Arabidopsis thaliana: one gene and its partner. Changing the gene in region 1 together with any one later gene gives a genetic interaction. Each region holds a gene or a part of one and is shown on either strand. Other genes may lie near its edges.

Region 1 (6,243 bases):
CAGAACATCAGGGCTTGACGCTGCAGTAACTCACGTTCTATATATCTATCAATAATTCTTCTATCTGCATGACTTGGTAATGGTCACCATTAGTTTACAATCCCTATGCATTTTTAATTTGGCCAGTTTCGTGGAAGACAGACTCGCAACGCTGAAAAATGTCATAAAAGAGCCTGAATTAGACAAATGGAGTTTATACCTAGGTGGTCTCTTCCCTCTCCCATATCATCACTTCTGGTTCCCCTTATTGGTTATTCTGACAAAAACTTATCTCAAAACAGGAACCTGGGGATACAACACTGAGAAAGAGAGAGCTGAAGCAGCAGGCATTCCCAGGATTCAGGTTATTGAGCTCTCCACGTTTAGCAATAAGCTTAAATGAGTGCATATACTCATTGGAAAAGAAACAAAGCTTTCCTCTTTATTGTATTCTACGGCATTCAACGGAAACTAAAAACCAAACATGTTTAGGTAAGATTCAGTAAAAGAGTTGAACTTTCAGTACTACCCATTATAGAAGCTTTTCTGTGACCTATAATTCATCCTTAGTAAGATCATTCTTGTTACCATCACCATCTTCGTGATCTTTCCTTTGCTCAGCTTGAAATTTGTCAAAGACATCTTCAAATGGAGGATCTCCAGGTCTTCTAAACTCTTGCTTCCCTATCTTGACCTCGTAAGCTTCTTCTTGGCTCAGCACGAATTCCCTTAGCTAATTGAAAGATATGATTGTGATGTTAGATTTTGACTAATCCACTAAACAAAGTTTTCAGCATTGTGTGTTTTCTGTGGCTTTTACCTCAGTCACAAGCTTCCCATTTTGCATATTGAACATCACTGTGCTTCGATCTACAGCCATGAATCTTACTCCTATCCCTCCTGTTCTTAAAACTTTTGTCCATTTCATAGCAATATCAATCACCACATCCTGATTGAAACATATAAACAGATCACTATTCAATCCCCTGAAGCAACTGGACCCATATCGAATTCAGAGAATTTTGAACAGTAACTGAAACTATAACTTAAGGACCCCAAATTCACGATTCGATTTGGATTTTAGTTTACCTTGGTACGGGGGACGCCTAACCGGAGCTTGACGAAACCGACGACGGTTCCAAAAGTCCGTTTAGCCATTTCCTCTTGGATCTGATCGAATCCCATATTGGTGAAATCCGGAGGCGGATCAAATTCCGGGGTCGTTGCTTTCTTCCCCCACTCTTTCCATGACTCGTCTTCTTCATTGTCTTCAACGTCGTCTAGGTCATCGGAGATCTCGATCCGTCGCTTCGTTGCTTCGGCGATCCGGACAAATCCGTGAAAATTCATAAAAAGAAGGAGGCCAACAAGTAGAATCAGCGAAGAAGAACGAACGATCTTCTCCATCGTTTAACAAATTTATTCAGGAATCAGAAACAGAGGAAGAGAGACTGCATCGGCAACGGCATTTCTATATCAGTAAAGCTTCTACAAACTCGCACACAAGTCACAAAACCATAATAATGTGACTTTTTACTTGTTTCGGGAAAAAAAACTATTAACGACATAAACTGAACCTGCTGGTTCAAAACTGTTCGCCGTTTTTCTATCTTAAAATAGAACTGCGTGCCAACTATTGACGTAAAGATGGCAAGCATATCAAGGCTGAAAGATGAAAACGACACGAGGTTGCACCGTAAATAAAACAAGGGTAATTGTATGATTCTCTCTAATCTACTACTGCACTACAGAAGGTAAAACTAAAAGTCAAAATTTGTCTAATTTTAAATTCAAATTAATTAATCAAGTAAAACAAACATAAGTCTAATTTGATTTCCAAATTTGTTTTTTTTTTTCTTTTTTTGATTTCCAAATTTGTTTATAGTAGTATCATTTTAGTATTCTTATTACCCAATACGGAAACAAATATTTGAAATAAACATGGAAAAATTAAAAGTCATTCCATTTGGTTAACAAAAGGAACGTTTGGTAAATTCACACGTGTCTCATCGTCATTTGTGCAACTGACTTGTATAAGGAAGGGTACTTGTGGTAATAAAAGCGAAAACCGAGGGGTGGCCTCGTGAAACGCATTTTCCGTGTTCCAACTGTATCGAGGCGTGGGACCTACAATCAAAAATAAAATAAAATTAATGCCCCTTCCAAAAAAAAAAAGAAAGAGAAAAAAAAGAAAAAGGGAAGTAAGAAGCCAGCTAGGGTTTGACTGCGAGAAATTTCTGATCTGCGTGAATTTCTCAAAGAGAGGAATCGATCATCGATTCCGTGGATTTCGTTTCCCTCCCTTTTTATTTTTATTTTTCGAGAAGCCATCTCAAAGGATCTGAGTTTATACCGTTGCATCCCCCGCGACTTTCGTTTTCCGATTTCCCCCAAATTCGATGCAAATCTAAGAAGAGAGAGAAATAGAAAGGTGTGTGCGCTTCAACCGACTCAGTGTCTCTCTCTCTCTCTCTCTCTCTCTCTCTCTGTTGCTATTTGAGGTTTTTTCCTTTGCCTCGGGGGCTCTCGCTGTCCGAATTCTTTTGTAGGGATTTATTGGGTAGGGTTTTTCCACTTTTTTTTTGTCTTCTTCTACTAGCTTCGTTGTGCATTGGGTTTAATTGTTTCCAGTGTAGTGACTGTCAGATTCTTCGACCAATTGCATGCAATCTGGAGGCAGTGGCGGAGGGCCCGCTCGGAATCCGGCCATGGGTCCGGCTGGTCGGACTGCTTCCACGTCATCCGCTGCTTCTCCTTCTTCTTCCTCTTCATCTGTGCAGCAGCAGCAACAGCAACAGCAACAGCAGCAACAGCAACAGCAGCTGGCGTCTAGGCAGGTAAAGGATTCTCAAGTCTCTGTTTGGTTCGTTATGACTTAGGAGGGATAAAATGCTTGTTTGTAGTGGCTAATGTTTGTCTGTTAAACTTGCGGCTATTCAATTTTAGTGGGACTTGACTGTTTATCAATTCTGTGTAAAAGGAAAGTAACCAATATCTTTAAATTGAAGTTGTGTAATGGTAGCCACTTGGAGAACATGTTTTGTTCATTTCCACATATATATATAGTTGCTCTGAATTGTGGATTATTGTTCATTTGATTGTTACTAATTATTATCGTGCTTCTGATATGGCAGCAGCAGCAGCAGCACAGAAACTCAGATACAAACGAAAATATGTTTGCATATCAACCTGGTGGGGTTCAGGGAATGATGGGCGGTGGCAACTTTGCTTCGTCTCCGGGCTCTATGCAAATGCCTCAGCAGTCTAGAAATTTTTTTGAGTCTCCTCAGCAACAACAACAACAACAACAACAGGGTTCTTCTACCCAAGAGGGCCAGCAAAATTTTAATCCAATGCAGCAAGCGTATATTCAGTTTGCTATGCAGGCTCAGCATCAAAAAGCACAGCAGCAAGCTAGGATGGGAATGGTGGGTTCATCAAGTGTGGGAAAGGATCAAGATGCACGAATGGGAATGTTGAATATGCAAGACTTGAATCCGTCTAGTCAGCCCCAGGCCTCATCATCGAAGCCATCGGGCGATCAGTTTGCTCGCGGTGAAAGGCAGACTGAATCAAGTTCTCAGCAAAGGAACGAAACAAAATCTCATCCTCAGCAGCAGGTGGGTACCGGACAACTAATGCCTGGAAATATGATAAGGCCAATGCAAGCACCACAGGCTCAGCAGCTTGTCAATAACATGGGAAACAACCAACTCGCATTTGCACAACAGTGGCAGGCAATGCAGGCATGGGCGCGTGAGCGTAATATCGATCTCTCACATCCTGCCAACGCCAGCCAAATGGCACACATCCTTCAGGCAAGAATGGCTGCTCAACAGAAAGCTGGTGAAGGCAATGTGGCCTCACAGTCACCATCTATTCCAATCTCTAGCCAGCCGGCTTCATCTTCGGTTGTTCCAGGTGAGAATTCACCACATGCCAACTCTGCTAGTGATATCTCTGGGCAGTCAGGATCAGCGAAGGCCAGACATGCATTATCTACTGGCTCATTTGCCTCGACTTCCAGTCCCAGAATGGTCAATCCTGCTATGAATCCCTTCTCCGGCCAAGGGAGAGAGAATCCAATGTATCCTCGACATTTAGTTCAGCCTACAAATGGGATGCCCTCAGGAAATCCCCTGCAGACTTCTGCAAATGAGACTCCTGTTTTGGATCAGAATGCATCTACAAAAAAAAGTTTAGGTCCTGCTGAACATTTGCAAATGCAGCAGCCTAGGCAACTGAATACACCGACTCCAAATTTAGTAGCGCCATCTGATACTGGTCCACTCAGTAACTCGTCCCTTCAGAGTGGACAGGGGACCCAACAAGCACAGCAGCGATCAGGATTTACCAAACAGCAACTCCATGTTCTCAAAGCCCAGATACTGGCATTTAGGCGTTTGAAGGTTTTCAGCTCTGACTTTTTCCTTATGTCTTCATTTTTATTGTATGTTTTGCTGGAGATGTATGCCTATAAATAACGTGTCTGCAAGCCAGGTTGAATGTTTTTAATTGCTTTTTTTTGACAGAAAGGGGAAGGTTCTTTGCCTCCGGAGCTTCTTCAAGCTATTTCTCCACCACCGCTTGAACTACAGACGCAGAGGCAAATATCTCCTGCCATAGGGAAAGTTCAGGATAGATCTTCAGACAAAACTGGAGAAGACCAAGCAAGGTCGCTAGAGTGTGGCAAGGAGTCTCAGGCTGCTGCTTCTTCAAATGGACCAATTTTTTCTAAAGAGGAAGATAATGTTGGAGATACAGAAGTAGCTTTGACGACAGGCCACAGCCAATTATTTCAAAACCTGGGAAAAGAAGCTACTTCTACTGACGTGGCTACGAAAGAGGAGCAACAGACTGATGTATTCCCTGTTAAGTCAGACCAAGGAGCAGATTCTAGTACTCAAAAGAATCCTAGAAGTGATTCTACAGCTGATAAGGGAAAGGCTGTTGCATCTGATGGAAGCCAATCTAAGGTTCCTCCACAAGCAAACTCTCCCCAGCCGCCCAAGGATACAGCCTCTGCCAGGAAATATTATGGACCGTTGTTTGATTTTCCCTTTTTCACTCGAAAACTTGACTCTTATGGGTCTGCAACAGCCAATGCCAATAACAATCTCACATTAGCATATGATATTAAAGATCTGATTTGTGAAGAAGGTGCAGAGTTCCTTAGTAAGAAAAGAACAGACAGTTTGAAGAAGATAAATGGTCTGCTAGCAAAAAATTTAGAAAGGAAAAGGATTAGGCCTGATCTTGTTTTACGGCTTCAAATTGAAGAGAAAAAGCTTAGGCTATCTGATCTTCAGTCTCGTGTTAGAGAGGAAGTAGATCGACAACAACAGGAGATAATGTCCATGCCGGATAGGCCGTACCGCAAATTTGTGAGGTTATGCGAACGGCAACGCCTAGAAATGAATAGACAAGTACTGGCCAATCAGAAAGCTGTCAGAGAGAAGCAGCTGAAAACCATTTTTCAGTGGCGTAAGAAACTCCTTGAGGCTCATTGGGCTATACGTGATGCACGCACTGCTCGTAACAGGGGAGTGGCCAAATACCATGAAAAGATGTTGAGAGAGTTTTCAAAGAGAAAAGATGATGGCCGCAACAAAAGGATGGAGGCCTTGAAGAATAATGATGTAGAAAGATACAGGGAGATGTTGCTGGAACAGCAAACTAATATGCCTGGTGATGCTGCTGAAAGATATGCTGTTCTCTCTTCATTTTTGACCCAAACCGAAGATTATCTTCATAAACTTGGAGGTAAGATTACTGCCACAAAAAATCAACAGGAAGTGGAGGAGGCAGCAAATGCTGCAGCAGTAGCAGCGAGATTGCAGGTATACATACTGCTTTCTCTACTCCACAGCGAATATCCATTACACTCTGTAGATAATTCTTCAAACTTTAACTTAAATGTTGACTTTTGCGTGTTTCAGAAAATAGAACTTTTTCTTTTCAAAGGTATAGTGGATATATAGTACCTTACCTGTTTCCGTTTTTGACGCAGGGGTTGTCAGAAGAAGAGGTCAGGGCAGCAGCTACTTGTGCTCGAGAAGAAGTTGTGATCAGAAATAGATTTACGGAAATGAATGCGCCAAAAGAAAATTCATCTGTCAACAAGTAAGGGCATTAGTCACACAAAAAATGATTAAAATAGGGAATTAGCAAAGTACTAGTTGTAACTCATAATTACCAATGCAGCTGAATACTTAAAAAGTATGTGCTTATCTGTAAAATGCTGATAATCCTGCACATCCATAT
Region 2 (5,507 bases), about 12 Mb from region 1:
CACTCATTTCAGGACACGTCCATGCTTCTTAGCACACATAAAAGATTTTAGCTAAGATGTAAATCTTAGCATTTAAGTCATTTTTGATTTAATTTTAATTACTTAAACCTAAGATATTATGCTAAGATATGTGTTAAGATGCACCGTTGGACTTGCTCTTATATTTTTAGGTTCTAATCTTTACCAAGTTTCTTGCGAGGTACACCAAATTAGTGACTTAATTGATGATTATAATGTTGGTCATATAACTTATGCTTGTTGGTGTCCGTCATTTTGTAATAATCCAATTTTTGATGAGGGTACTTTATTTTTTTTGTTGCTAAGAATGAGGGTACTTATACATTAATTTAGTTGTTATGTGTAGCTATGTAACAAGTTAAATACTCTTAATGAGGGTACTCTAATTACTTTGTGTAACTAGCAAACTTTATTCATAACAAAGAAAATCTGACGGCCGGACGGTTCACGAGAATAGTGACCGGATTGATGGTCCTGGTGCTGGTCATATAACATATGTTTGTTGATGATGCATGTCACCGTACAAACTCATCTTTTGAAGTAAATATAATATACGTGTAAATGATTTTTAGTCGGCATGTGTGGTTATGCAATTTATTATACTTTGTTATCTTTTTTTTAACAAAAATAAATAAATTTAGGCTCATAACCCAACAAAAACCCTAAACCAATTAAATAGAAACGACAATTCTACAAGCTTCGATAAATTAACAAAGACTTATCATATAAACACAAAGTTTATTACCACATATATCAATTTTGACATTTATATACATCTATAAAGTTAATTACTTACTAATTTTAACAAATGTATTCAATATATTTCATAACGATAATAAGATATTAAATATAATTCCACCAACAATTTCATCACACCACCTTTGTATAGGAGTATTAGACTAATTGGAAGGATCGTAGATCATCAAACCCACTTTTGAGTTATAAACTAAACTAGCAAATAATCTAGTAACCGAAACGTACGTACCTTAATAAGTTTTCCAAAAAAAAAAAATGGTTGTAATCAAACCTATGTTGCATTTATTAATTGAAATGGCAGATTATAAAAGTTTAATTCTTAATCTCGTTCTCTGCAAACAACTTATTAAAGATATACAACATGAATTTAGAGATGGCAAGTAAAATTCTTTATTAATTTTCTTATTGGTCACACTCGCCCGATGAAGACTCGGATCGGAACCGAGTCTTTTGGTATCGACGTTCCATTAACCAAATAATGAAATGGAAGCAAATTTTGTTTCACTCTCATTGTTCATCAACTACTTGTTTCCCTTTGCTCATAACATTGTTCTTTTTGTTTGCGCTGTAGCTCCCGAAGAGACTCTCTATTTCTTCTAAAGGCACACCACGTGTCTCCGGGAGGAAAGTGAAGAAGAAGACCCACGCGGCAACCGCAACTCCGGCGAAGAGAAGGAATGCACCACCGATGGTGAGACCCTTAGAAAGAGATAGGAATGTCATTCCTATAATACCACTCATTAGTCTATTCAACATCACTCCCAAACTTGCTCCTTGCGCTCTTAGCCTCACGGGGAATATCTCTGAGGCGTAGACCCACGTCACGGGGCCTGCACCTAATGAGAATGTTGCGACAAAAGTCATCACCGTCGTAACGGCGAGCCCTATAGCCCACTTGAGTGTTTGCCCGGGGTTCCTGTCGATCACCGTGAGACTAGTTCCAAGGGCGGTCAAGGAAAAAAACATTCCACCCATACTCGTAAGCAACAAGGCACGACGTCCAAACCGGTCCACCAAACAAGTTCCTACTACGATGAAGAGAGTCTTGACAACTCCGACAGCGACCGTAGCCAAGAGCTGGTCATTCTTGGACTTCAGTCCAGCCCTTGAGAAGATGGTCGGAGAGTAAAGCACGACAGCATCAATTCCGGAGGCTTGCTGGGAGAAATGGATACCAAGGCATGCTATGAGGATGTGTCGAACGGACGGGGTTGGTCGAACGAGAAGGTCCTTCCACACGCCTTTTCCAGCGCTCTTTTTATTCGGAACGACTATAACATCGTCTGTCATATCATCGGGGATTCCAACTGCGCGTTTGATGTCATTGAGCCTTGAGATGGCTTCTTCTTTGGTGTTTGAGGTTTTGTCAAGGACTTTAAAAGCGTCCCCTAGACGACCCTGCATGACGAGCCACCGTGGAGACTCGGGCATTGCCAACACTCCAATGGCTAGAAACACTGAGGGCACAGCTCCAATACCTAACATGAACCTCCATCCAATGTGCTCTGGAAGCTTGGCGAAGAAGTAATTGGATACGTATCCCAATAGTATACCAATGTTGATAAATATCTGCATGCATATAAAATCATATCACATTAATATAAACCTAATTTTCTTTTTTTTTATATCATATAAACTAGTAAAATTTGGATCTATTGAACCTCAGGGAAAGAGCTAAGGAAGCCTCGAGAAGAGGCTGGAGCGACTTCCGTGGTATAAACAGGCGCAATCATCATAGCGTAACCGACACCGATACCGGCTACAAAACGGCCGACCATAATGAAAGGATAGTTAGTGGCAAAACCCATTAGTAGGGCTCCACAAAAGAAGAAGAATCCTGCCAACACTATGGTATATCGTCTTCCGATCCAATCGGAAGTTCTTCCAGCTGCTCCTGAACCGATCAGAGAATAGATATTTAGAATTCCCATAAGAATCTCAAGTTGTACGTCCGACAGCTTCAAATCGTCTTTTATGAAAATTGCAGCTCCACTCATCACTCCAATATCTGCAACATCCATAAAATGTGAGGATGATTATCTAAACCGTTAAACCAAACCAAATCTGAAATTTGATCGTTAGAGAATGATTAGAAGACCAACCATAACCAAGGATGATAGAAGTCATGGAGGCTAAGATTGCACAAGCAAAAGCAAATCGGCTTCTATTCCCTCTTGGCGGCTCGGACTCGGCAACAACAACACCTCGTTCTTCTCCTGAGGAACTCATTGTGTCCACCGCGATTGTAAAACTTACGGTGAAAACGTAATTAGTAAGGAGAAGAGAGAGTGATATTAGCAGATGAACTTTGTTTCTTGTGAGACACGAGACCTATTGAAAGATGAAGAGATTTAAATAGATGAATGATACTCACAACTGAAGCCAACCAATAACTGAATGTTTAAACAATAAAAAACATTCAGTTACTTAAAACGGTTTAAAAAGTTTCAGAGGATAGGAAATCGGATTAGAAGATATCAAGAGACGCAGGTTTTTTCTCTCAACTACAAGTTTTGTCCTAAAATTGGCAGTTTACAGTAAGACCAGATCATTTAAGATTTTAAGTTTTGTCTCACTTTTTACGTTTTTTTTTTTTGTTATTTTCTTTTCTAAACTTAGAAACATAAGTAAATAGGCATCTACACGTATCAGATTGTTATAAATCTAAATATAAACAGTGCAAGTAAGAATTGTGTAGATACATGCAATAAGATTGCTCACTCTCTTTTTACTGATGCTTAATTTGTTTCACATAGGCCAATGTTTATATCCATTCGTTACTAGAGTCAAGAAATTTCCGCATTTTTGAGGCTCCGAGCAACGTACAATCCTTGTCAACTCCAATACAAGTTTTTTCAATGATAATTTTATTTGAGCGGACAAAGGCTTCTCTAAGTCTACTTTGACAAGCACTCTAGCCATGTCTAAGCGTGTGCATCTCTCTCGACGGGAGTTCCAACCAGGCTGCCCCACAATATTATCGAGGGGTTGTACCTTACAGAGTTGCAAGTCAAGGGATTGACATCTATATATAAGAACACGAAAAACCTTGTCTCATTTTAGGAATCGATACTTATCTAGTATCTTAAAGACTTATCAAAACCTATATGTAATCGGAAAACTCCAAAACAAGAATATTCAAAATAAAGATAAAAGAGAACTAAAATAAAACCCAACATGGAGAAGCTCCCTAGTTCCTACATCAGCAAGAATCTCAAACATAGGATTGAACTTGGTAACTGAATTCGATGCATCTCAATGATGTAAAGAGAGTTCCACGAGCCTGGCTTTTGGATATATACTTTTTAAGAGTCGGCTATCAACGTTGCAAGAAAGCACTTATAGGGCTGCGTTTTTTGAAACTTTTAAAATTATTTGATTTAGTCTCAAACTTCAAATTTCAGATTCTCTGATCAAAGATGCGTATAATGTAACAAAGGTTTTTTGGTGTATAAAATTTAAAATTCATGCAAAATAAAAAATCTTTTAAGCTAATTCATTTTTGTTTGTATTTCTATTTAAGTTTTTAGAATTGTATCTTACTTTTATCTTGATTAGGTGATTTTATCAAATATAGATTTGAATCGAACATGCATAACAATTATTTCACTAAGTTAGCATCACATATATATATATATATTTTTTACAATAGAATACATCAAACTTTAAATATTAAAGACAACATGTACATGTTTTTTTCTCTTGAATAACTAAGAAGTCATAGGCCAAGGTTGAGATCCATACATTCTCTTAGTCCGGTGACCAAAGAATTTTATATGGTTTTCTCCCGAGTGCCACTCAAGCCAGCGATTTTTAAGTTTTGCATGAGAAATAGCAAAAGGTTAGATCAAAGTGGCAAAATGTTTAAAAGATTTAAGTGATGCATATTTATGTCCATGTCCATGTCTGTGACCTGCATTGAAGTATATGTTAAGCTTCTTCTTGCCACCTCCCTTCTTCAAGTGTTTCTTCTGACGTTGTCCAAGATCTGTTCAAAAATGAAATTATCACATGGAGATCTCAATTTCCATAATCGAAATATACCAAAAGCAAATGCCAAAAATACATCAATCATGTTCCTAAAAATTAACTATCAAGCGCCGATTTATGCGAATAATTGTTACCAAAACAAACACAGCTCGAATCCATCTAACTCTTATCTTTGATTTACCTCTTACCATGGCTTGATACTTAGATGAGACTAAGCATGCAAAGCTTTCTCATCCAGTAGCTGAGTTGCATATGTCCACACTATACGGTCCAATGGACCCTTCAGAAAAATCAACTTCATTGAATTTTTGACGTTCATATGATCATCTCCAAAGTGAGTAGGCCACCACTGTATCAGTTTTTCAACAGTTAATCTCTCAAGTTTATGTCATACTAAGAGACAAGATCCAATTACTTTATCAACAAAATCCAAAAAATTGTATATGAGTAAGCACCTTAGATCACTAGGTAAGAAACAAGAGTAACATTATTGAGGTGTCCAGCGGGAGACTTTTATTATCCACATCAAGATTGAAATCATTCTAGCTATTGTGTTAGAAATATCAAACATGAGTCATTTATCATGGTGAAAATCATAGTGGTAAGTATTAGGAGAAAGTCAATGAATATTTAGGCCATTGTTCAGAGAGCCTTTGACTTTATCAACCTATTTCTCACAATCTCCATTGGTTTAAGGTAATTGCTTGGAGTCATGAAACAAAACATTTCTAAAGCGCAAAATA

Evidence for each region. A genetic interaction does not mean that the proteins touch.
Region 2: of BRM (region 1) and PMT2, extra expression of one rescues a mutant of the other (dosage rescue), as found in Arabidopsis thaliana (one study listed by BioGRID).

Annotation. Positions count from the first base shown.
Region 1 is NC_003071.7:18,920,662-18,926,904, forward strand, and holds the start of BRM (transcription regulatory protein SNF2), read left to right. Parts: upstream 1-1,871; 5' UTR 1,872-2,539; intron 2,540-2,615; 5' UTR 2,616-2,642; coding exon 2,643-2,816; intron 2,817-3,113; coding exon 3,114-4,388; intron 4,389-4,511; coding exon 4,512-5,819; intron 5,820-5,989; coding exon 5,990-6,102; intron 6,103-6,243. Other genes in the region: AT2G45990 (ribosomal RNA small subunit methyltransferase G), read left to right, coding at 1-25, 127-203, 282-382; AT2G46000 (LDL receptor wingless signaling/trafficking chaperone), read right to left, coding at 533-712, 800-928, 1,069-1,386. UniProt on the Arabidopsis thaliana protein: ATPase subunit of a multiprotein complex equivalent of the SWI/SNF complex that acts by remodeling the chromatin by catalyzing an ATP-dependent alteration in the structure of nucleosomal DNA.
Region 2 is NC_003071.7:6,999,818-7,005,324, reverse strand, and holds PMT2 (polyol/monosaccharide transporter 2), read right to left. Parts: upstream 3,154-5,507; 5' UTR 3,004-3,153; coding exon 2,877-3,003; intron 2,783-2,876; coding exon 2,436-2,782; intron 2,344-2,435; coding exon 1,282-2,343; 3' UTR 1,090-1,281; downstream 1-1,089. UniProt on the Arabidopsis thaliana protein: Plasma membrane sugar-proton symporter.